Xenopus tropicalis: one gene and its partners. The protein of the gene in region 5 purifies or fractionates together with the protein of the main gene of each other region. This does not show direct contact. Links are inferred from orthologs where the notes say so. Each region holds a gene or a part of one and is shown on either strand. Other genes may lie near its edges.

Evidence for each region.
Region 1: the proteins of prkacb (region 5) and prkar2b purify together in Homo sapiens (affinity purification with mass spectrometry; 7 studies listed by BioGRID and IntAct, counting the BioPlex papers as one, with this or other methods). This does not show direct contact. The link is inferred for Xenopus tropicalis from reciprocal best matches to the Homo sapiens genes PRKACB and PRKAR2B.
Region 2: the proteins of prkacb (region 5) and pde4dip purify together in Homo sapiens (affinity purification with mass spectrometry; 5 studies listed by BioGRID and IntAct, counting the BioPlex papers as one, with this or other methods). This does not show direct contact. The link is inferred for Xenopus tropicalis from reciprocal best matches to the Homo sapiens genes PRKACB and PDE4DIP.
Region 3: the proteins of prkacb (region 5) and prkar2a purify together in Homo sapiens (affinity purification with mass spectrometry; 6 studies listed by BioGRID and IntAct, counting the BioPlex papers as one, with this or other methods). This does not show direct contact. The link is inferred for Xenopus tropicalis from reciprocal best matches to the Homo sapiens genes PRKACB and PRKAR2A.
Region 4: the proteins of prkacb (region 5) and akap9 purify together in Homo sapiens (affinity purification with mass spectrometry; 5 studies listed by BioGRID and IntAct, counting the BioPlex papers as one, with this or other methods). This does not show direct contact. The link is inferred for Xenopus tropicalis from reciprocal best matches to the Homo sapiens genes PRKACB and AKAP9.
Region 6: the proteins of prkacb (region 5) and akap11 purify together in Homo sapiens (affinity purification with mass spectrometry; 5 studies listed by BioGRID and IntAct, counting the BioPlex papers as one, with this or other methods). This does not show direct contact. The link is inferred for Xenopus tropicalis from reciprocal best matches to the Homo sapiens genes PRKACB and AKAP11.
Region 7: the proteins of prkacb (region 5) and vapa purify together in Homo sapiens (affinity purification with mass spectrometry; 4 studies listed by BioGRID and IntAct, counting the BioPlex papers as one, with this or other methods). This does not show direct contact. The link is inferred for Xenopus tropicalis from reciprocal best matches to the Homo sapiens genes PRKACB and VAPA.

The regions. Positions count from the first base shown.
Region 1 is NC_030679.2:76,663,705-76,667,204, forward strand, and holds part of prkar2b (cAMP-dependent protein kinase type II-beta regulatory subunit), read right to left. Parts: intron 1,473-3,500; coding exon 1,366-1,472; intron 1-1,365. UniProt on the Homo sapiens protein: Regulatory subunit of the cAMP-dependent protein kinases involved in cAMP signaling in cells. Type II regulatory chains mediate membrane association by binding to anchoring proteins, including the MAP2 kinase.
Region 2 is NC_030680.2:118,175,242-118,178,741, reverse strand, and holds part of pde4dip (myomegalin), read right to left. Parts: intron 2,935-3,500; coding exon 2,853-2,934; intron 2,508-2,852; coding exon 2,410-2,507; intron 2,085-2,409; coding exon 1,968-2,084; intron 1,533-1,967; coding exon 1,395-1,532; intron 994-1,394; coding exon 881-993; intron 204-880; coding exon 61-203; intron 1-60. UniProt on the Homo sapiens protein: Functions as an anchor sequestering components of the cAMP-dependent pathway to Golgi and/or centrosomes.
Region 3 is NC_030680.2:136,484,714-136,488,740, forward strand, and holds the start of prkar2a (cAMP-dependent protein kinase type II-alpha regulatory subunit), read right to left. Parts: upstream 2,801-4,027; 5' UTR 2,504-2,800; coding exon 2,239-2,503; intron 1-2,238. UniProt on the Homo sapiens protein: Regulatory subunit of the cAMP-dependent protein kinases involved in cAMP signaling in cells. Type II regulatory chains mediate membrane association by binding to anchoring proteins, including the MAP2 kinase.
Region 4 is NC_030682.2:31,557,614-31,561,113, reverse strand, and holds part of akap9 (A-kinase anchor protein 9), read right to left. Parts: intron 1,441-3,500; coding exon 1,264-1,440; intron 535-1,263; coding exon 430-534; intron 1-429. UniProt on the Homo sapiens protein: Scaffolding protein that assembles several protein kinases and phosphatases on the centrosome and Golgi apparatus. Required to maintain the integrity of the Golgi apparatus. Required for microtubule nucleation at the cis-side of the Golgi apparatus.
Region 5 is NC_030680.2:77,758,749-77,761,999, reverse strand, and holds the end of prkacb (cAMP-dependent protein kinase catalytic subunit beta), read left to right. Parts: coding exon 1-137; intron 138-459; coding exon 460-585; 3' UTR 586-2,751; downstream 2,752-3,251. UniProt on the Homo sapiens protein: Mediates cAMP-dependent signaling triggered by receptor binding to GPCRs.
Region 6 is NC_030678.2:132,806,060-132,809,559, reverse strand, and holds part of akap11 (A-kinase anchor protein 11), read right to left. Parts: coding exon 1,744-3,500; intron 617-1,743; coding exon 461-616; intron 1-460. UniProt on the Homo sapiens protein: Binds to type II regulatory subunits of protein kinase A and anchors/targets them.
Region 7 is NC_030682.2:104,685,147-104,688,646, reverse strand, and holds part of vapa (vesicle-associated membrane protein-associated protein A), read right to left. Parts: intron 3,433-3,500; coding exon 3,280-3,432; intron 1-3,279. UniProt on the Homo sapiens protein: Endoplasmic reticulum (ER)-anchored protein that mediates the formation of contact sites between the ER and endosomes via interaction with FFAT motif-containing proteins such as STARD3 or WDR44.

The DNA of each region.
Region 1 (3,500 bases), on a different chromosome or scaffold from region 5:
GGAGCCAATTATACCGACGTGCCACCAGCGCTGAAGACACTGTATTGTTGGAGGTGGGGATAGGTGAATCAAAGAGCCAAACATACATGGTGTAAGGAGACTGATATAAGTATGTGTATCAAGTAACAAAGTAACAAATGGACAGGAAAAGAAAAGAAACATGATTGATACTTGTAACGGATCTAATCAATGTAGCAACATGTGAAAAGAAACCAGATATAACAAGGTAGCCTATTACACGAATATCACAAGGAATTATAATGTCAAGGTACTATAAGTAACTGACCTGCCAGAAGACAGATGAACACGCAACTAAACAAACTAAGGGAAGCGAAATACTGTCAATAAAGCTAAAGGCATAGGTGGAGTATAGACAAGTGAAGACACTGCAGCCACGAACTACATCCCCTTCAAGCACAGGAAATTTCCACTACTATGAATAGAGGTGAAAGGTTAGGGCAAATAAAAAGGGGAGTATGAGACCAGTTCATTAAGTCCATATGGGTTTAAGGTATTCAGTCTGTGTTATAATTAACATGTTAATTAGACACTGGTTTAGCTGTGTGAGTCACTTTGAAAAAGGCTACTGAGGTAGCCGAAACGTTAGTCTTCTCAATAAACACCAGATTAATTCTATAAGTCCTGTGAGTGCGGATCTCTTCGCTGCTGTATATATATATATATATATATATATATATATATAGAAAACCAAAACACAGCAGGCACTCACGTAACAAAAAATCTAATTGTGCCTGGGTGCAGTCCTTCAACAAGTTATGTAGCAAGAAAAGATAGAAGCCGCACTCACAATACTAAGTCCTGTGAGTGCGGCTTCTATCTTTTCTTGCTATATATATATATATATATATATATATATATATGGTAGTAAAACATTACAGGGATTTTGTGTATTGTGTGGTATTCTAGAGAAATACTAAGATATATTAATTGTGGGTCAGATATTTTCAATTTCACACATTTATTTTATTGGGACAGAGAAAGCTAAATGGTTTTCACTCATCTGGCAACTTAGTTTAATTTATGTATAATCAGATTTGTGACATACCTGTATATGTGACATCTGGCTTGTGTCTATGCTTTACCAAATGTAATACCTATTACAGAAATTAGTTCTGGAAACCAGCAATAGCAGATGCTATATTGAGTGGCAAAACTGGTACTGAATATGGTATAAACTCTACCAATAAGATACCAAACACAGTTCTTTTTTATATATATATGCACTGACACCTGTTAAAAGAGCTCAATATGATTCTAAACCCTGGCAAAACATAAGACTGAAAATGTATCAGAATAGTTGAGGTTTTCCTCTTTAAACATTTTTAAGTCAAAATCATTTTTTACCTGTCAATTACGTAAAAGTTGTCTCCATCGTCACCCTGATCAATTACGTGTTCTCCACATTTTACGAGTTTTTCAAACATTGCATCTAATACCTGAGACATCTGTTCCTGCAGAAGAGAACACATTATTAATTAAACAACTAAATGAAACACTGTTTTATATTAAAATGTATAATAGATATAGAGTTTCCACTGATTTCCAATTATATTTTTCTGGTTTCAGATGGTTTCCCTTGCTAAATCGTCCCAGTTTTATAAACATATCAATGTGCTTGAAACTTCAAAATGAAACCCAAATTACAGATATGTTATTGTGGCAAGATACTTTGCATGGACAATTTGGTGACTGAAAAATATAAAACACAAAGGTGTCTACCTGAAAGGACCTGAAAATTGAATTTAATGGTTATTACCAAATTATGCCATTGTGGGTAACAGCAAAGGCAAAATATTGCTAAACTATAACAGTCAGGTTGTTACTTTGTTGTTACTTTCCTAGTGCCTTGGATTCTTTCTTTGTAAAAGTTTGGCTGTTTTTATATTTTAAGTCTATTCTGTTATGGCACATACAGCTAAAAAGGTACATTTTAGTGAAAATAGCTTATTTAGATTTTACATATGGGCATGGGTGAATTTTTAATAAGGTTTGGGGTTGCTAAGCCTTCCCAAACCTCCCTAAACAACTTCCTTACTGACTGTTGCTGATAATTTAAACAGTGTGGAAAAACTCCTTTCAATTTCTGCAAGTTGGTAATCAGTTGCGCTTTGATTATCTAGTATGAATAAATCTAAAGCAACTGTACTTGTTAAGTAATCACTGAAGATGTTTCACTACTCATCCGAGCAGCTTCTTCAGTTCAACTGACTGGTATGGGAAGTCCTCAGCATATGTACTCTTCCACTAATCCAATCACAATGGCACTTTGTAACTCTCCAGAAAGGTGACATCTGAAACTCACATGTGTGAAGAGTTCTGAAACTGCCAGGGTACAGATGTTAGAACAGCATTGTATGTAGCAGACAGATGGTGTTGAAGTCCCCCGCCTCTGTTTAGGGATGGTTTCTCCACGTTGACATGAATGGCCTCTTTCAAACCAGCGGTCTTCTTTGTACAAAATTTGGATGTTGCTATTTTCAAAGGAGTGTCCCTTGTCTTTTAGGTGTAGAAATACAGCAAAACTCTTCACACATCCATTCATGCAACTCTAACAAGTAACACTTGAAGAGTGGCATGATACAAAGTAACTCCACAGCATTCACACCTCTGTGAGTTTCAGATGTCACCTTTCTGAAGAGTTACAAAGTGCAATTGTGATTGGATTAGTGGAAGAGTATATATGCTGAGGACTTCCCATACCAGTCAGTTGAACTGAAGAAGCTGCTCGGATGAGTAGTGAAACGTCTTCAATGATTACTTAACAAGTCCAGTTGCTTTAGATTTATTTATACTAGATATACCATGACCTGGATGAATAAAAATCTTCATAGTCATATTGCGCTTTGATTGGCTCTTTCTTCTTGTAGCTTCTCCATAGCTCTTAACATAGACAGTGAAGTAGGCAGAGCTGGGTAGATATCAAACAAAGGCAGCAGAAGAAAAGACTGATATGAAGTATTTGCAGAAAGTCACATGAAGTTTCCTCCCCCAGGCAACTTCAGAAAATGAAGCAAAACATATGCCTTTCCACCAGCAATTCACTTTATTGCCAGTAAAAAAAAAAAAGCCTTTTGGGGGAGATTAGTTTTCTGTGGTAGCCAAGATTAACTGCGGTCGACTAATCTCCCCCTGGGCCATGAGCCTAAATGGCGACTAACTAGCTGGAATTAAACTGTTTATTTATCACCTAGCATCAGTCATATCCCTATCAGACCTCAATTAACACTTTTTGTTTTTGCATTTGCACTTACTTTTTTATTGTTTTGTTCATTTTTAGTTTGTTCAGGTGGAACCCTCATGAGACTGCATGGTTGTGAAACAAACCTATGAGTGAGGGCATGCTGAAATGCCTAGTCTCAGTACCCACTGCATCTCACTGTATATACAGTGGCTTGCAAAAGTATTCGGCCCCCTTGAACTTTTCCACATTTTGTCACATTACAGCCACAAACATGAATCAATTTTATTGGAATTCCACG
Region 2 (3,500 bases), about 40 Mb from region 5:
GTTCAGATTAGAAGGCATGCGTGTGCATGTGAGGAACGCTCAAACTCCCCCACTCCCCACCTCCAAAGGTGATGGCCGTCAGCCCCCGCTCTGAATCCAGCTGCCGAAGGCGCTCTGTTGCCATTTCTAGGGTGTCTTCCAATTGGCACGTCAATGTCTGTGCAGTTAGAAGTTCTTCCTGAAGTGCTGATGTGCGTTTTATGCTAAATAGATTTGTGCAGATAAAGGCAATTTGTTGTTAATATAAAAATCTACAGCACACACTCAACATACAGTAATGGATGTTCCTTATTCTTTCATTAAATACAGAATGGCTTTTTCCAGCTGTCTAGCAGATTTGGAAACCAATATTTTTATCAAAGAACACGCTCGTGTCATGTTTATTAAGTATTTCAGATAAGGAGTGCTCTTCACACTTGTACAGACAGCTTGAAGCCTATGAATAAAAGGACGCAGAATGAAAATGACCCCTTATGCAACTAGAAATAGTGGCCATGGGACTACCATTGCACACGTGCAGTTGCCGATAATCTAGAAGTTACTTTAATAGATTGATTCATTGGTGGATGCAAGGAAAATGACATGTAAGGGCTACTGTTTGTCTCCTGTGTATACAAACAGCATATATAGGTTTTGTTTAATTTTTTAAAAATGTCTGAAACCATAAAACAATGTCACATGAAACAATGTCAGCACCAAGTTTTAGTGCTTGGAAATAAAAATATGCTTGCTATGAATATGCAAAGGCATTAGTAAATATATAGTATACATATACATATAATATACATAACCCAACCAAATGGAATGAATAGTCAGCGCATCCTGCTGCACATTATACAAGACACACAATGAATTATGCATCAGAAGGAACTCTGCTCACCTGTCTGGGTCAGAGTGAAACTGCACCAGGCTGCTGTAAAGCTGTTTCTCTGCATGTAATGCATCATTCAGCCTGCTTCTGTCAGCAACAAGCTCCTCCAATAGCTTTGATAACTACAATAGGCAACAGAACAAAAGGGCATTGTATAACGCATGGCTTATTTGAAACCTGGAACACACAGCTCTACAAATAATGTTAATGTAAGAAAGCTGGCTAATACATTCACGGATGAATGCTGTACAATTCCCATATTTATGAAATCCGTTACACTGCTTTTAGAAAGTCTGAAATAGCACAACAGCTTTACATTATTACTACTGCGTCCTGCAATGTTGATTAAAAACACTTTTAAGCTTGCAGCATGGAACAACTTTTAGCTGATGGGGAACAGGGTGCACTGCAATTCTAAGATTAGCCTCTGTGAAATTATTATTGACATACTGGCAAAAGCCCTAATTGCTGTGTCTCAGTGTGGCTTGCAAGTGGTTGCTAAAAAGCAAGAAGACTAAGATACCTTCTGGTAATGATCTATTCCATGCTCTGGTTCTGGCACACCTGATATAGCCAATTTCTCCTTCAAGCTTAGGACTTCTTGGGTAAGATGCTCCACTGTAGGTACCTCCTCTGGATCTACCAATTGCATCTGCAGATCCTAAACACCCAAGACAAGTGGATCAGGCATTTGTAATATTCAACCATGCCAAAGAGAATGGGAACTATAGTAATATATAGGTACAGAAAGAGGATTAAACTTATTCTACCTCACAATGCAGGAAAACCTTACTATCTATATTACAACTGCCAACAGCTGATGTCCGTGTCCTTACAATTAACCTCCTTGTTAAGAAAGCATCATCAGATAAAGTGAATTAGCTCTCTAATGTTCATATAAAATTGACGACAAACACAGTTCATAAAAGCAAAGACAACAATAGTAAGGCATGCCTGCTTGTGAGTGGTTATTGGGATCAAAACAGAGACGCACATTTCCCTAGCATCTCTAGTTAAAAGCTAGTACTGGGTCAAATGAAAGGCTACAAAAGGTAAGGCAACACTTGTCATTTCTTGTTTCTCATGCACAGTTCACCTTGATTAGATCCTCTTTTATCTGAATACTCCTGTTCAAAGCATCCATGTCTGCTGCTTGCTCCTGCAGCTGCTCACTTTGCTCTCTGATAACAGACTGCAGAGCTGACACTTCAATCTGTTAACAAAAACAGATGAATTTACATCTCTGGCTTCAAGAAAATAGCAAAAATTATGGAGACTAAATGACAATAGTGGATAAGAGGGTAGCATTGAAAAGTCTCACTTGCAGCCTAGGATCCCTCAATAGGGTACATGGTATATTTCATGTCTGCTCAGGGGCTGATTATTTGACAAAAGGGATACATTTTCAGTTTAGGGTTCTATAAGTAATTTTCCTAAAGGAAAGACTATAGAGGCTTTATTCATGGAGAATTATATTTTAGCTAGCAATAAAACAATGTAAACATTTTATACATATATATATATATATATATATATACCTGATTTTCTCTTTCCTTTCTCAGAACAAGCTGCAGATCATCTTTGGCTTTGGCAAGTTCACTCTCCAATGCTTCAGTTTGGTTACTCTGTGCAACTGCTAAAGAAAAGTCAGCAATCATTAAATGCACCATGTCTTTCAGGTAATGCTTAACTGATAGGCCTTCTGAGAAAATATCTACTTCTATTGTAAAATAAGAAACTGTGTCCCAAATAAACAAATGCATTGCCACTACAAAAAAACATAATGGTTACTCATTCTAATGCAGTATGGTTACGAATGGTTAATCTTCCATGATTTGCTTGCCCATTATGCATATCTAATTACTGCAATGGATTTATGGACTTGCACCTATTTAATGCTATTTAATGGTACATAAGGGGGTGCAAATCAGTACTTTCAATTCAGTGGGAGATTTAAGGATGTTATTTCCCTCCAACTCACCTGGATCTTTCAGATCTGCAGACAAAGAAGTCACACATACTGAGATTGGATGATCAGAAAGTGGCTTGGCTTTCGCTAACTGCTGAAAACAATAATACATGTAAATGAATTATATTAGACATTAAAAGTCTAGAAACTGGTTGCTGATGATAATGGGTACAGCAGAAAGGTAGAGAGCAGTGTGTTTTAGTCATGATCCAGTGCCCTGTTCGTGCCAATAGGAGAGCTTTATTTTTTGTTGATCCTGTGTCCCCCAGAAGTTGCAATGAGGTAAAATATACACTTTCAATGTAACATACTTTGGCATAAAATTTATTGTGTACATATTTATGTGTAAAACTTTCCTGCCTCCTGGACGGTGAAGCATAATCCCCATTCGTTCCCTGTACCCCCTGATGTGAGAAAACTTGATTTGTGGTATACATCAGACAACTAGAACTACCTTATCAGTATATTGCAAATCCTAAATTAAATTATTTCTTGGATTTAAAACAAAAGACTCTGGTATAACCTTTTCAAATGCAGCAAGAGGAGCCCCACAAAGCAAAGGTATCGTCTGTGAATTTTGATGGCTTACGGCAGCCACACAAGGGCCAATTCTATGGCACATTGACAAACTGGACTAAGGGGTGTGTCTGCACGGGGGCG
Region 3 (4,027 bases), about 59 Mb from region 5:
TCCAAAGTCCCACAAAGTTGCCTGCAGGAGGAAGCTTCGCGCCACTTTGGAAGACGGAAGTGATGCCTTTCCAGTGGTGATCCCCTTTGTTACCACAGGAAAGGCATTTTGGAGAGATTAGTTGCCCGCGGTAGCAGAGATCTATCGCAGGTGACTAATCTCTGTGTGGGACGCTATCTACAAGGTTTCAGAGAGCACAATCTGTAAATCGATTATTTACAGAGAGAGATAAACCAAGCAATTATGAAGGAAACCTCACAAACATTAGAGAAGACTGTTCCATATAAAGTGGGTGCAATTATTGGAAAATGAGCAGCAAGCATAACCAGCAGTGATGTTTCTGTAAGAGAAAATGTTATGCCTATTGCAGAATGAGCAGCAGGCATCACTAGCAGATATCCCACAATGCAACTATAAGCCTGCCTAGTAGGTACATTACTTATACTGATGTAGTGTCCTCTGCCCTAAAGGGAGACCTCAAACATGTACATGCCCAGCAAGCTTGAAATTTATTTTAAACTCAACAAAAGACAAGAAATGTGCACAGTGTGTCCTGCCCACAGGAGCTTGGTACTTGCCACCATTTCTAAGTAATATACAATCACCCCTTATTTTACAGGGCTTTAGGACATCATTGAAAGGGAAGTTTATTAAAGGGGAACTCCACCCAAGTACAACTTGAGCTTTTTGAAAAGTAAAGCTAATTTCAAGCAACTTTGCAATACACAAATTTTAAAATATGCATCCATTTCATGATTTTTAATGTAATAATATGGTTTGGAACAGTTCCCTAAGCCCCGCCTGATCTGGCCGACTACTTTGAGACTCAAATAAAATGTAACAGTAATTGCCTGCATCCTCCCAATCACACAATTCCCTGCACACGTGATGTCAATAAGAAACTTCACGGTGCAATGCATTGTGGGTTATGTAGTTCCTGCATGCTGTCTGTAAGCTGTGGAGAAGTTGTTACAATTTGTAACATCAATGTTTTAGTCCCTCCTCCACTGCTAGGATTTTAAATGATGCAGAAAGAGAAGAACTGTTTTGCAGCTGGACTTCAGCATATAAAAACTGTATTTCAAAAGAACAGATTACAGTGACAGGTATATTAGGAATGACTATTGTGTGGGGCTCTTTAACAAATTTTGGTTCAGAAGCCGGAGTTCCCCTTTAAAGATCTAAAGGCTATGAAGCGAGACCAGACACCAAAAAATGACTTATGCGCCTTAAATCATTTACAGTTTCTCTGTAATTGGTAATTTTAAAAATCACTGGCAAGAAACAAAAAGTACTAAAATAAAGACATTGGAAGCCCTGCTCCACATGAGGAGATGTCAATTCCTCAGCCCTCTGTCAATGCAGGTAGTGCATCTGACTTTACAGCATCACAGGGGCACCTTTGGGGCAGGAATATGCGGAAGAAAAAACCGAAAGAGCCACTCAAAACCGGTTCCTTGCATCAAGGAAGAAATGTCATTCTAAGCACCTTTCCAATATACATTAACGTTGGTTATGGAAGTTTATTTGTAAATGAGTTCTGACTGTATCTGCCTGGCTGTTTCCATTCTCTGCACTGCTGGTTCTGACACAATGTAGAAGTAGCAGGTAAATAAACTGGCTGTTTCCATTCTCTGCACTGCTGGTTCTGACACCTGACACAATGTAGAAGTAGCAGGTAAATGAAGTGATCTAGGGCAGAACTTCAGCTACATTGTTGCAAGAGTCAAGAACTACATATTATTATTAAGGATAAAGACATTTGTCCCACAGTTACAAGTGTAAATAACTTCTCATACTGTCAGTATTGGGGGGGGGGGCACTTTAAATGAGCACATGAACCCTATCCAAGCTGCAGCCCCCGTGTGTTGAGCTGCACATCGGCCCCAGCAGAGCAAGGCAGGGAGCTGCACATTAACAAAAGCTGGGGGGCAGGATAGCTCTTTGATGAATGTGATTTTGTCTGCCCTCTCAAATGGGGGCCCCCCAGCCTTCCTGCATTGCCCGGGGGCCCCCCAGCCTTCCTGCATTGCCCGGGGGCCCCCCAGCCTTCCTGCATTGCCCGGGGGCCCCCCAGCCTTCCTGCATTGCCCGGGGGCCCCCCAGCCTTCCTGCATTGCCGGGGGGGGCCCCAGCCTTCCTGCATTGCCGGGGGGGGGCCCCCAGCCTTCCTGCATTGCCGGGGGCCCCCCGTCTTCTCAAACTCCAGCCCTGCCCACAGCACATGCGGCCTCTTACGTTCGAAATCGGAGTCATCGTCATCTTCCTCGTCCTCCTCTTCGTCCCCGTTAGACTCGGTCTGCATGGGTTCCCCGTCGAAGTTGACCACCCGGGCGTGAGGCCGTAAAGAGCCGGCCCCTGCGCCATCCTGGAGCTGCTTCTCCTTCAGCCGGGTGAAATACTGTATCGCAAACTCCACCAGGTCCGGCGGCTTCTGGCGCAGCACTTCCACCGTATAACCCTGCAGTAAGTCCGTCAGGCCGGGCGGGATCTCGATGCTCATCGTCCCCGGGTTGGGGGGGGAGGTAGCCCCGTTTCGCTGCTATTCACACCTTACACTGGATAAGCTGAGCCACCAAGCAGGCCAGAGGGTGCTGTCCCCCCCTCTCTATATTCCTGATGGTTCCTCCGCTCGCACAGTCCCCCCTCCCTCCCCCCAACAAACCAGCGGACGCTGAGGAGTTGCCGCGGCTCAGGGAATCACCTCACACAGCCAGAAACCGGCGAGAGCGCAGCGCGCACTGATCCCTAAGAGCAGCGAGTAGGCCGGATACGCGAACGCGCAACAGGAGGCGGGAAAAACAGGGCAGAGCACTGGCTAAGAGGGAGGGACTATTTTCTGACGTCAATCCCTCGTCCTCTTCCGCCAGTATATTACATGGGGAACGCGGCTGCTTTGTCAACCTGCAACGTTACCTGAGCTTCTATGTCACCACGGTCCATTCTTGAAGCTGTCGTAAATGCGTCGAAAAGTTGAGCAGAGCTGTCATCCCTCAGGAAAAGAACTTACATGTCACTTGCTTAGCCCCACCCACTCATGCCAATAAGTGACAGCGGCCGGTGACGTTGGGTCCGCCCCTCTCTGCGTCATCTACTGCCTGGCCTTGGCTTAGGAGCGCTGGGAGCCAATGAGCTCTGTGTAAAAAGGTGAAGATAAGAGCGCTCAGTGTTGCAGCAGCTCTCTTGTTTTAATATGGTGCTAATAATCAGTAAAAGCTCAGTGTAGGCCAGGTTGTACCGCAACTGAATTAATGCTGCTATTTTTGAGTAAGAGACCTTCAAATGTTATTGACTGAAAAACTCCTATTGTCCTGTGGCAGATATAGGCTGTTGGGGCTAGAGGCAGAGTAAAAATACCTCAGGTACCAGAATGGACATATTTGCGTCATAGATGTATTCATGATAGAGAAGTATAGGAAGTAAATGTCTTGTTGGTACAATATGATAATAACTAGAGCTTCTCCAGCATTTAAATCCATTTTTCAAAAGCGTAAACAGATTTTTTAATATTTAATTTTGAAATTTCACATGGGGCTAGCCATATTCTTTATTTCCCAGGGTGCCACAGCCATGTGACCTGTGCTCTGATAAACTTCAAGTTCGAGTGATACCCCCCCCCCCCCCAGCAGCGGAATCAGCAGAACAGTCGGAAGTTAGCAAGATAGCAGCTCCCATTAGATATTAAAGGAGAAGGAAAGGCAAAGTCACTTGGGGGTGCCAAAATGTTAGGCACCCCAAGTGACTTTAACCGCTTACCTTGTACCCCGGGCTGGTGCCCCTGTTCGGAGAAAACAGCACCGCTTTCTAAACTGCCGGTGGCCGGGCATGCACAGTAGAGCGAAAAAGCCGACTTCAATATAAGTTTGGCTCTTCACTCTACTGCGCGCGCAGCGAATCGCAAAGGAGGAAGCACAAGCAGCTACCCCGGGTTGGTGCTGTTCTCTCCGAACAGGGGCACCAGCCCGGGGTAAAAGGTAGACGGTTAAAGTCACTTGGGGGTGCCTAACATTTTGGCACCCCCAAGTGA
Region 4 (3,500 bases), on a different chromosome or scaffold from region 5:
CCTACCACTCACATAATAAGTTTGTAATATCTGGCACTGTTTCACTGCACCCTGTGTACATTTTTCTGCAGCAGAGAAATTTTGACACCTCTCAAAAGGTGAAAAAAGCCCTTCTCAACATTTGCATTCTAGCAATCATAGGATCAATCAATATTTCCAAATGTTTCGATTCAGTATCTATTGTAGCAATAGGTCATAAAGCATTTTTGAAAAGACTTAATTTGAAGGTACTGCCATATAGAAAAGTCAGTCAACCTGTGTGGCTAATTTATCATCCTGTTCTATTGGTTGGTAGCAACCATCGCTACTTTCACTTTCCAAATCCTTGCTCCCTAATGCAAATTGCATGTAGGAAAAAAATTGTAGACAATTAAGATAAACTATTAATAAAAAGGTCTCAATGTCTTTTTTAATTAAGGGAATTCGCACCTCTTTTTCTTTTCGATCTATTGCGTCACGCTCCACTTGGAGTTGTGCTTCTAGAGGTATTTCTCCTTTGGAACTAATGACGATGGACTGTCTTCTGAGCTCCACCTTCAAGAAAATGTACATATTACTTAGACTTGTTTATTTAGTATTTAACTTTTCATCCCTCGTCCATCCCTAAATCAGCACACAAAAATCACATCAAAAAGCATTACAGATAGTTTGTGTAACCTATTCTGGTATTTGCCAGAATCAACAGATTGCCAGTCCATTTCTGAATTTATTTATTTATCTACAGAGAGTGAGTAACAACATTTAGGGGGTGGGGTAATCCTATTCTATTCCTAAAAACACACACACCCGTTACATGAATCTTCACTGGTGCTGTGCCTAAAGGTGGCCATACATGTACATGTTAAAGTTCAGGGCTAAATTGTCAGACATGGAGGTAGAAGTAGGGATTCTACCTTCACCTGCCGATTCAGCCCTAAACGCAGACTTTGCTCGGCCGCCTTTTTAACTCAGCCGATCGTCGAGACGACCGATATTTGCAGCCTTTGCAATACAGGTCGGCTCATCGATCCACTATACACACACACCGAATATCGTACTAAACAAGGTTTCATACGATAATATCAGTTAGTTTATGGCAAGTTTTGCGCCTCCATTTGTAAAGCTAATGCTTACTTAACAAATATTGGATCCAAGCACCACAGACACAAGATACAACAAGATAATTGGGTGTGGAGGATCCTTTTTCATTTTGCGTGTGTATGCACCTATCTAGCCATTATCACATATTAAGGTAGGGAGAAGGTCACAAGTAAATTAACTCACCTTCTTAAGGGTATCATCACTGATGAGCAAGGCCTGCTCCAGTTCCCTGATCCGACACTCCAGCTTCTCAATCTCTTCATTCCTTTCTTGAATATCCCGCTGGAACTGTTCTTTGCAGAGCAGCAGTTCATTGCATTTGTCTGTCTTTTCCTTTAGGTTAGTTTCCAGTTTTTCAAGCTTTTTTTAAAAAAATTTAAAAAAAAAAATCAACCAAAAATACCTCTTAAATTGTACATTCGTACATTGGTGGATGCATCTATTTGTATAATTAAACGTGTGAGTTATGGCACAATGTACACAGATCCAAAGGAATACTTTAATATTTAATGGGGCGATTCACTTAGTATATTATAGAATGTCCTATTCCTAGCAACTTTGCAATTGGTCATCATTTATTTTTATAGTTTTATTTTTTTAATTATTTACCTTCCTTTTCTGCCTTTTTTTAGCTTTCAGAGGGGGGTCACTGACAGCAGCAGACTTAAAACTATTGTTCTCTGAGGCTAAAATTCTATCGTTATTGTTACTTTTACTGCTTATCTTTGTACTCAGTCCTTTAACTATTCATATTCCATCTCTCATTCAAATTACTGGCTGGTTTCTTGGGTAATTAAGACATTAGCAACCAGATAGCTGCCGAAATACCAAACTGAAGAGCTGCTGAACAAAAAGCTAAATAACTGAAAAACCACAAAAAAAGAAGGCCTATTGCAAACATTATAAAAATGCACAATAAGGGAAACAAAGGAGCACTGGATCAACAGGTGCTATCGGATAAATACATAAAAACAGAGGTGGGTGTGTCAAAGTGACCTTTCTTATATTTCTTGACAAATTAATTTGTATTTTCCCAGCTTCTTCTATAGGTACAGATGATTCAGATATTTTCACTGGGAACATGATTATAGGCACAGGACCCAATGTACTACTGCAGTGCTGTCCAACTTCTACGGTGCCGAGGGCCGGAATTTCTCTAGCATACATGGTGGAGGGCCGCTAATGGAAGCCAGTTTTGACCACTCCCCTTTTTGAAACCACACCCACTTCAAACCACACCTATTTTATCACAATGGTGGTAACACAGCAAAATCCCAAATGCTTGGTCCTTACTGTGGGGATATCAACCATCATTCATATGTGAAAGAATTATGTCATATTAAGATATACCCTTAAATTCCATATGCCTCCTCCTCCCCTGTGGATAGCAGAGCAACCCCCAGTACATAATTACACACCTTAGGGACCATTTAATGGCTATTTCCAACTGCTAACAAACTCCCACAACAAACCCCTGCCAGGTTCACCTCCCACAAGCAGCATAGAGCAAGCAGAGTATGGCACACACAGGCAGCACTCTGCCTGTCCTACGCTGTCTGTGTGTGCCATACTCTGCCTGTCCTACCCTGCCTATGTGTGCCATACTCTGCCTTCTCTATGCTGCCTCTGTGTACCATACTCTGTCTGCCCTACCCTGACTGTGTGTGCCATACTCTGCCTGCCCTACCCTTCCTATGTGTGCCATACCCTCCCTGACCTATGCTGCCTGTGTGTGCCATACTCTACCTGCCCTATGCTGGCTGTATGTGCCATACTCTGCCTACAGTACCTATGTCTGAGGTGTGAAGAAGTGAACAATGGGAGTGATTACAGCCTGAGCCTGAGGTGTGAACACTGCAGGGGGTGAACCATGCAGGTATTAAAAGGTGTGAAAAACACAGGGGATTACATTTTTAAACAATACAGGGGGATTACAGCCTGAATCTGAGGTGAAAACCATGCAGGGGGCCAGTTAATCTCAGTACTGTTACCATTTAATGCTTACTCAAAGGTAAGCCATCAAAGCAGCCAGACAGGTGGGGGGCCACACAGAGGGGGGTCGCGGGCCGCATGCGGCCCGCGGGCCGCCAGTTGGACAGCACTGTACTACTGTATCAAGCACACTGCCAGCTGTTACTGTACAAAACGTGGTAAGCTTGATGGTATTTTCCAGCTGCCTCTGACTTGACACTGGACAGACTGATGTTCAATAAAAAGAACTAGTCTTTAAAAAAAGCTAATTATACAGGTATGGGATCTTTTATCCAAATTATAGGAAGGCTGTCTCCCACAGACTTCATAAGGTATGGAGATACAAATTATGTAAAGATCCTTATCTGGAAAACCCCAAGTCCTGAGCATTCTAGATAACAGGCCCTATACCTGTACAACAGAGCAAAGCACCTTTAATCTGCAGCAGT
Region 5 (3,251 bases):
ACCTTAAAGACTTGCTAAGGAACTTGCTCCAGGTAGATTTGACCAAACGATATGGGAACTTGAAGAATGGTGTTAATGACATCAAAAACCACAAATGGTTTGCTACAACAGACTGGATAGCAATTTATCAGAGAAAGGTAAGGAATTTTTGTTAGATAATAAATCTATATAAATAATAATAATAAATTATTCACACCAATGAGTGTAGCAGCTACTAATTGCCACATGTGTCTTTCCTTACACATACCTGCAAATATTACTTACTTTAGCATGGGGCCAAAAGACAAGCTGATTATAGAGAGCGCTCAGAACCTGGTAGCATTCTTTAGGATTTCCTATTCCCAGTCTCATTTTATCAGTGCCCCTGAATTAATTGGCCATTCAAATATTAATTGATGATTCATGGAATGTCACAAGAACAGTGTTTTGTATTTATCCATTTTCCCTTTTACAAATCAGGTGGAAGCTCCCTTCATACCAAAGTGCAGAGGGCCTGGAGATACCAGTAACTTTGATGACTATGAAGAAGAAGATATTCGTGTGTCTCTGACAGAAAAATGTGCAAAAGAGTTTGCCGACTTTTAGGATGTGCATGAGGACAAGATGACATCAGGGCTCATATTGGAATCTTTGCACTCTATTAGCAGATGGGGTGGAGCTGAGACCATCTTATGTCACAACAGTTACCTAGTTCCTTCATTCCGCAAGGCTGACTGAGGTCTATTTTGCCATCTTCCATGTGTGCATTTTGCACCAACCCTTTTATCTAGGCACAATTAACCAAGCGATTTGTGCTGTAACACAGAATGCTAGACCACTTTCCTTTTTTTGTCTTTTTTTTTTTTTTTCCTTTTTGTTTACATCTTGTATGTTTTGCCCTCCTCCTCACAGCTGTCTTTTTAAGTATATTTTACCCAACTACACCCCTTTTATTTTGAAAATGTATTATTATTTGTTGGGAGGGGCAGGGGGTACAAGAGAGAGATCTGGGAGTTGCTGCAATTAGGAAAATTTACAATGGAGGAAGTGTTGTTTCTAGTCTCTGCCACTCCATAGGTTTTTGTTTTACATTGTAAATCCTTATTTATGTATGATGGTAAATGTTTCATGTCACAGCTCAAATTGGAACTACTGGCCAATATTATTTTGAGAGGTTTTTATAAAGTAACCTTAACCATGGCCATAATCTCCTAATGGAAATAATTTCAAGAACAAAATTCTTCCTAGAGATTGACCAAAACTGGTTAGAAATCAATTTGAGTGCTACATTTGGCTAGATAGATCCTGTGCCTTGGTTTTCTATTCTTTAACTGTGCTGCCCCTTCCCGCGTGTTCCTTGCTTTGGCAGGACCTAAATGTTGCGTGACCATACTGTACGGCACATAGCACATTTTTTGGTTAAACTTGAGGATTTACAGCTGACGTCTTTCAATTACATAATGCTGACTTTAAAATGTCACACCATATGGGGGGGGGGGGGTTAAATAACATTAAACCTGCTCTTACAGCAGGTTTTGGTCAGTATTTTTTAAATGGAACATAATAAATAAATAAAAAGTGATAAAATCATGATGACTCCTTTACCAGCTCTGCAGTTAAAGCTATATTTTATTTCTGTTTAATAAACATATTGAGATCATAAAGGATGAAAAAAAAAGCTGTTCCTGTCTGAAAAACACATTCGATAAGGAAGCGCAGAGTCATTGCATTGCTAAGGTGATTCTCATTTTCTGTTTGTTCTAAAGAATAAAGGTTCTTGCCAAGTTTTATTCTGGTATACTATATTAGTAATCGGAGAATGAAGTACTGTTACCATGCCTCTGTACAACAACAGTTCTTTGTTCACATGAAAAGTTGATAATGTAAGCAAAAATTGTCACTGCTAGTGTTTTACTCCATGCTTTCTTTTCTTTTTGTTTCTCCTTATTGTATAGCATTGGCTTGAGTTATAATAACCAGCCTTCTACCAGTGAGACAGAATGTACATTCACACTTTCTATCTGGGCTTAGTTGCCTTTTTCTTTAATCACAAACTGACTCAAAACATGGCTGCCACGTGCTAGCTAACAGCACTTTTCCGTGTCAGTGTTTGTTACAAGTCTGTGGCTCTGAACATTTTTTTTTCTTTCAAACCTTCTCCACTATATTTGTACACATCTCTGTATCTATGTACCCTTGTCTTAAAAACAGCACATCTGAACAGTTTAAAATAAACTAGTTGCATTTTATTATCCACTTCCATGCATAAAAGACAATTGTTTTTATTCAAATGATCTGTATTGGTATATAGCCATTGTATTTGTTTAAACGTCAGTGGGAATAGATCGCTGGCACTACTTCCTTTTAATCTGTATGACACTCCTGTAAGAAAAGCCTTTGTAGACATTTTTCAACAGAGTTTAAGATGTACTATCCAACATTCTTGTATGTCTTTAGGTTGTCAAGCATTTTTGCACAACAGCGTGATTAGGAGACTGACGAAGATTGCAGTCTTTATCCATCCTTATTTCCTTGTGCAAGAAAGGTATAAGATACTTTGCTGTAGCAAATTTTATGTAACAAAAAATATATATAAATATATATATACATCACAATAAATTTAAAAGGATTCTTTGTATGAAAATGTTAAAATCTTTTGTATTTCATTTAGACTGAGGATATGCTGTGTATGCTAGCTGTATGCAATCAATTCTATAGTAACTTTGTTGTCGTTTATGAACTTAAAAAGATTTTAATAAATGCTGGAGATCACACTTTGTCATGATTTTAGTTCTCAGTGCCACAGAATGTGGTGTCCCACAATAAAACATTAGCAGTGCTTTCATGTTCTACCTAACAGCTCTATATAGAAGGTATGTATTGAGCTTTCTGTATTCACATATACTGCATGTGGCCTTATTACTATAGTGGAGCGCTTTGTGTAAAAATTTAGACAGTAGATAATCAGTACAGTACGGACAGTAGAAAATCTGCACAGATTCTCTTCATTCACCTTATGTGTATATGGCTTTCAATTTCTGGTATTTAGCGGGTGCCTATCAGCACTGTAGCAGGGAAAACCCTTGCATTATTCAGTTCTTTGTTCATGTTGCAGAGTAATAAAAGTTGATTAAGCATGTTTATGCCCCACAGGCTGCTGTGCCACCAGTTTGCACTGTTAATTTAATATACTTCCATTTAGTCAAACATGGATGAAGAAATATGTGCAACCAACAGAGGCAGCAATACAGCTGCTTTCACACCATGCATAG
Region 6 (3,500 bases), on a different chromosome or scaffold from region 5:
TCAGTGTGGTGAGTGGCTATAAAAAATCCTTGGTTAAAGTGGTTCTTAAACTGAAACTGAGTGAAATCCCCCATGAGCCAAGGGTCTGAGGCAAGGCACCCAGACCCATTATATGAAGCGGTGAGCAAAGCTTGTATAGACTTGTTGTTCTGAATTTGGTTTAATTAAAGTGGCTTAGAGCAGATTTCTATTCTATAATTGGTTACAGATGCTCCATCTGTAGTTGTCAATCACACTCTGAATAGAATTATAACATCAGGGTTAGCTAGGGTTCCAAATACAACCGATGGGATATTAGGTGCCTCTATCATTGGCAAAAAAGGAGAATAGTGGGAAAAAATGGTGTCCTTTGAATCCTCCTTTCTCACTAAAGCTGTAATGTCTAAACTAGTAAGATATCTTAGGATCTGTTTTTTAAGTAAGTCCTTTGTATAATACATGCAATATGACATTACATTACCTGTCACTGAGGTGAAGGAAACTGCTGCTTTCATCTTGATGTTCATCTTCAAAACTCAGATTGGACCAGCTGCCGGTACTGTCATCCCCAACACTGACACTTGTCTGCTGGCTAGTAACAGATTCTGCTGACTGGAATCCATCTTTGCCATCAGAACTAAACTCAATTTGTAATGATAAATAAACACAAAATAGCAGATTTAAAACTCCTAGTAAATTGATTTAGTTTACTTACATACTGAAAGAATTAAAGTCACTTTTGTGTAGTGAAATAGGTTAATGGACAAGTAAAGACCCCGCCCCTATTTCCCAAATGCTATATTATGCTGCCTAAAAAAAATGATTTTTATAGCATTGCTGGTCATTTAATTATAGCTTGCTCCATAATGCCACCATAATCAGGCCACCATTTTGTCTTTCTTCAAACTTTTTCCTCTGCCCCATCTTATCAAGCCAACACCCCCCAGGCCACTCCCTGATGATAAAATCTTATATACAAACACACTGAATGCAATTAGACATGAAATTTGGACATAAAAAATAACCTCTTTCCACTAACAACGAAAATGATGTGCAACAAACACCATGAGCTAATTTGTTAGGCAACCCCACGTGTCTGTGCCTCTCGAGTATTGTGCCTCCATGTTTTTTCCACTTTCCCAGGCATCATATGCACCACCCTGGGCAAAAGCAGCACAGTACAGAATATCTTTAATTTCCATTTTGGAGTTTATACAGTTTATAGACCTGTGTTCACCCCACAAATACATAAATGCCTGCTATTGGTAGTGCTGTATTCATGAGGGTCAGGGAAGGCAGGTAGATATCCCCCTTCCAACTGCCCCTTGCACATCATTCAGATGCACAAGTTAGGGAGTGCCAGAAGGCACAGCCCACAAAGGAGACTTGTACTGTCTTCCAAAGGAAAGACAATTAGGACAATACTGCCCTGTACCCCCTGAAGCAAAGCTAGGCAACTCGTGCTGTTTTTTTTTTTTTATCCAGATAGGTGCAGAGTGCAGCCTGACTTATTTTACACTCCTTGTGTGTGCTGTGTATGCTTCTAAACAAAGCTTTCTTTACTTAACTAAAGTCCATTGTTTTGATGTTTAGACTTAAAGGTCAATGCTACAGTCGTCACTGTTACTTCTTTCTCTTATAAATGTACTTACAGTAGCACCTACTTCTAATTTGTCACCTATAATTTTACAGAGGTTTTGAAAGAAAAGACAGCAAAAATAAGCAATATAAAAGAAACACAGTAGGTCTTGAGATCTTTCTTACCTTTGGTTAACATGTCCAATGTTCTTCATAGCACACATCATTATTTCTGTGGTGAGACTATCTGCAAAGCTGATCCCTTCTGGCCCAATACCACTATCGGCAGCCAAACTTGTGTTACTCAGCTCCCGCTCTGCTTTTCCTATAGCAGCACTAACAATTTTTTCTGCAAACATTGCCCTCTTATCGAAATCAATATGAATTTTAGGTATATTATGATGAAAAAGTCTTGATTTTTGACCAGTGTTATGTTTAGACCTTGAACATTGTTTCATTCTTCTAGAGACATCAGGTCCCAAGAGAAAATGACAAGACGACTGAGTGTGTCCTTGTTCCTTTGCACTGCAAACCCTACAAACAGGTCCATATGAATGCATCAGCTTCCCATTATGTGACACTTTATCGTTGTTTTTCCTGTTTTCTAAAGCTTGAAGTCTTGCCGTTTCCAAGGTAAATCCTATGGTACTATCAACGACTTTACATGCATATTGCTCAATAGCTTGAATGACACCTTCTTTAAGACCTTCATCATTTAGGCTGCCAGTGCTATGATACAGTTTATTTGTCTGTGAATATGGAAGAAGACTCTTGGAAACATTTCTTTTGACAAGGTCACTAGTTGTCTCATCAATTTTTGATTTTGTATACAGACATGAATCAGTCAGTGATTTAGGAAGAGAAACGGCTGATATTTTTAGCTTTGTCCTTACATCACAAGTTATTGTATTAGCAAGAGTTTCAGCAAAACGTAGCAGGCCTGTGAACTCTGGTCTACGGGAATCTTTCCCGTGTCCAGAAGATTCCTCACCAAAGGAATGGTTTGAAATGCTCCTCCTTCTTTGCTTTTCCCGCTCTTGGTGCTGTGTCATGCTTAAAAGCCTGAGAATTTCCTGCATGCTGTTAGCTTCTGAGTTCCTTCTGGGTGCTGGCTTCTTATTGCATTTCAGTTTAATTGTTTTAGAAGCTTGTTGTAAGCCAGACTTTACAGCTCTATAAACTAATCTGCTGGCATACTGATCAATGATTAACTCGTTGTTCCCTCCTTCCATTTTTAGAACACGTATAATATGATCGGCATACTCCTCAGTCACACTTTCGCAGCTTGGGTATTTCGAGGTCAGACCGGCAGCAATATTGTTATAAGGGAGAGAAAGAGTAGAAGGATCAGATTCTTTAAAATTCATACTTGTGCAAATACACTCTTTTTCTTTTGGCCTGCAGTCTCTAGAGTGTTTCCTACAATGACTGCAATCAGAATCACAAACTGATTTCACCTTTGTACTCTGTTTCTTGCCCACAACTTTCTTTGCATCATGAAGGACTTCTCCAGCAATAACACCTGCATATTTGCTAAGTGTCTCCAAGGTTTCCTCAGAAATATTTCTCATGTATGCAGGGTATCCCCATTTATCACTCAAGACATGTAAAAGTGGCTTATTTTTTGCAGAAGATCTACGGACGGATTTATCATCTAAAGCATCTGCAGCCATTTCAGTGGCTACAGATAAGATGTTAGTTGACAAATAGTCAGCATACTGAGATGTTTCTTCAGAAACCTCAATATCTTCATCTTCAGAACTGCCATCACCACTAGAAGTTTCAACTTCTTCTGATAGTGACCGCATTACTTTTAGAAGAAAATCATCTTTCTTTATGCTGTCATGTTCAGAGGCGATTAAATGGGGTGTAGATGGTGGAGTAGCTGGATAAAACTCTTTTGCCAGTTGCCCTTTAAGTTTCTTACTAAGCTTTTTCATGCT
Region 7 (3,500 bases), on a different chromosome or scaffold from region 5:
AATAGAAAATACCTGGTAAAACTTGGCTTCCTGTCAATTGAAGTACGGCGATACGGCGAAGGAAGCAGCTGAATCAACTATGTGACGATCGATTGATCGAGCCTAGCCTTCTTTCTGTATAGGAAGGAGTCAGGCTAGGCTTGATCAATCGATCGTCACATAGTGGATGCAGCTCCTTCCTTCGCCGTACTTCAATTGACAGGAAGCCAAGTTTTACCAGGTATTTTCTATTAAAGCATTTAAAATACTAAGTGGTTTGCAGGATAGGACAGTTATTGGTGCAGGGTAGAATAGCTTTTTTAGTGTTACTTTTCCTTTAAGAATGATAAATCAACACACATCTTTGTAAATGTGATCTGGGTGTGATGGGATGTTAGACTGTCAACTTCTGCATTCTGGTACGCAAGTGGGTCTAAAGAACCCTTAAAGCAATACTGTCATGGAAAAACATGTTTTACTTCAAAACGCATCAGTTAATAGAGCTTCTCCAGCAGAACCATGCATTGAAATTCATTTTTCAAAAATGCAAACAGGTTTTTTAAAATTTTATTTTGAAAAATTCACATGGGTATAGCCAAATTCTTCATTTCCCAGGGTGCTACAGCCATGTGACCTGTGCTCTAACTTCAGTCACTGCTGCGCTGCAAGTTAAGGTGGCCATACACTGGCCAATTCTAGCGGTCCTTTAAACCGACATGGCAGCTTTTGCGCCCGTGTATGGGAACAGATGGGCTCGCTAGACCAACATATAGCTTGAAATCAGCCAGATCTCAACCGGACAGGTTTGATTTTTCAGTCGAATTGGGGACCGCATTGGCTTGTTGATTCACCAAACCTACTGCTCCTATACCCACCGTTCTAATTCAATCGTCTGGCCCCTAAATTCAAAATCTTAATACTAAAAATGCAGCCAAAAAACTCCATCTTTGCCTAAGTTTTTTTTCTAATTTGTGCGGTCTCAGGATTTGTTTGTTGGTCATCCACCTGCCTACCAACAATTGTACAGCATAATTAATTTCTCAAGTTTGAATAATATTTTCAATGTGGCAAAATTCCTAAACCAGCTTGATGACCATTTCTTCCTAGGGATTAAATAGGGCCATCATTATCATTAACAGGAAAGTAAACTAAAAAGCTAAACAATCCAAAAACAAAGAAAAAAAATAACGATCCACATCGCATTAATATTATGGTGAAGCTATCTTAAAATGGAAATGTGCAAAATGATATACAGTGGTGTGAAAAACTATTTGCCCCCTTCCTGATTTCTTATTCTTTTGCATGTTTGTCACACAAAATGTTTCTGATCATCAAACACATTTAACTATTAGTCAAAGATAACACAAGTAAACACAAAATGCAGTTTTTAAATGAGGGTTTTTATTATTTAGGGAGAAAAATAATCCAAACCTACATGGCCCTGTGTGAAAAAGTAATTGCCCCCTGAACCTAATAACTGGTTGGGCCACCCTTAGCAGCAATAACTGCAATCAAGCATTTGCGATAACTTGCAACGAGTCCTTTACAGCGCTCTGGAGGAATTTTGGCCCACTCATCTTTGCAGAATTGTTGTAAGTCAGCTTTATTCGAGGGTTTTCTAGCATGAACCGCCTTTTTAAGGTCATGCCACAACATCTCAATAGGATTCAGGTCAGGACTTTGACTAGGCCACTCCAAAGTCTTCATTTTGTTTTTCTTCAGCCATTCAGAGGTGGATTTGCTGGTGTGTTTTGGGTCATTGTCCTGCTGCAGCACCCAAGATCGCTTCAGCTTGAGTTGACGAACAGATGGCCGGACATTCTCCTTCAGGATTTTTTGGTAGACAGTAGAATTCATGGTTCCATCTATCACAGCAAGCCTTCCAGGTCCTGAAGCAGCAAAACAACCCCAGACCATCACACTACCACCACCATATTTTACTGTTGGTATGATGTTCTTTTTCTGAAATGCTGTGTTACTTTTACGCCAGATGTAACAGGACACGCACCTTCCAAAAAGTTCAACTTTTGTCTCGTCGGTCCACAAGGTATTTTCCCAAAAGTCTTGGCAATCATTGAGATGTTTTTTAGCAAAATTGAGACGAGCCATAATGTTCTTTTTGCTTAAAAGTGGTTTGCGCCTTGGAAATCTGCCATGCAGGCCGTTTTTGCCCAGTCTCTTTCTTATGGTGGAGTCGTGAACACTGACCTTAATTGAGGCAAGAGAGGCCTGCAGTTCTTTAGATGTTGTCCTGGGGTCTTTTGTGGCCTCTCGGATGAGTTGTCTCTGCGCTCTTGGGGTAATTTTGGTCGGCCGGCCACTCCTGGGAAGGTTTACCACTGTTCCATGTTTTTGCCATTTGTGGATAATGGCTCTCACTGTGGTTCGCTGGAGTCCCAAAGCTTTAGAAATGGCTTTATAACCTTTACCAGACTGATAGATCTCAATTACTTTTGTTCTCATTTGTTCCTGAATTTCTTTGGATCTTGGCATGATGTCTAGCTTTTGAGGTGCTTTTGGGCTACTTCTCTGTGTCAGGTAGCTCCTATTTAAGTGATTTCTTGATTGAAACAGGTGTGGCAGTAATCAGGCCTGGGGGTGACTACAGAAATTGATATTGAAATTGAAAATTGAAATTGATAAACCACAGTTAAGTTATTTTTTAACAAGGGGGCAATTACTTTTTCACATAGGGCCATGTAGATTTGGAGTTTTTTTTCTCCCTTAATAACGTGAACCTTCATTTAAAAACTGCATTTTGTGTTCAATTATGTTATCTTTGACTAATAGTTAACGGTTTTTGATGAGCAGAAACATTTAAGTGTGACAAACATGCAAAAGAATAAGAAATCAGAAAGGGGGCAAATAGTTTTTCACACCACTGTATACACGTAAAAGTGGTCTCTGCATCATTTGTTGTTAGTACAGGTATGGGATCCCTTATCCGGAAACCCATTATCCAGAAAGCTCAGAATTACGGAAAGCCCATCTCCCATTGACTCTATTTTAATAAAATAATTCAGAATTCTAAAACCGATTTCCTTTTTCTCTGTAGAAATAAAACAGTACCTTGTAATTGATCCCAACTAAGATATAAATAATCCTTATTGGATGCAAAACAATCCTATTGGGTTTAATTAATGTTTTATTGGTTTCTTAGTTGACAAGGTATGGAGATCTAAATTATGGAAAGACCCCTAAATCTGGAATACCCCTGGTCCCGAACATTCTGGATAACGGGTCCTATATAGGAATACGAATAAGCAAAGATGTCAATTTTTAATTGTCAAGTACACCAACCTGAAACTGTGACTGTGGATCCAGGGTCTATGGTGCCACTGTTTGGTCGCACACAATAACGCCGAGGTGCTGTAGTTTTGACTTTAAAACATACTTTTTTATCTGATGGGTTCCGTAGTTTTAGGTTTGTTGTTACCACATCTGTAAATGGACCTGCAAAAAAAAAAAAAAAAAAAAAGTGCAACAAAATTAGCAATTGTGCTATCAATGTATTGCTTTAT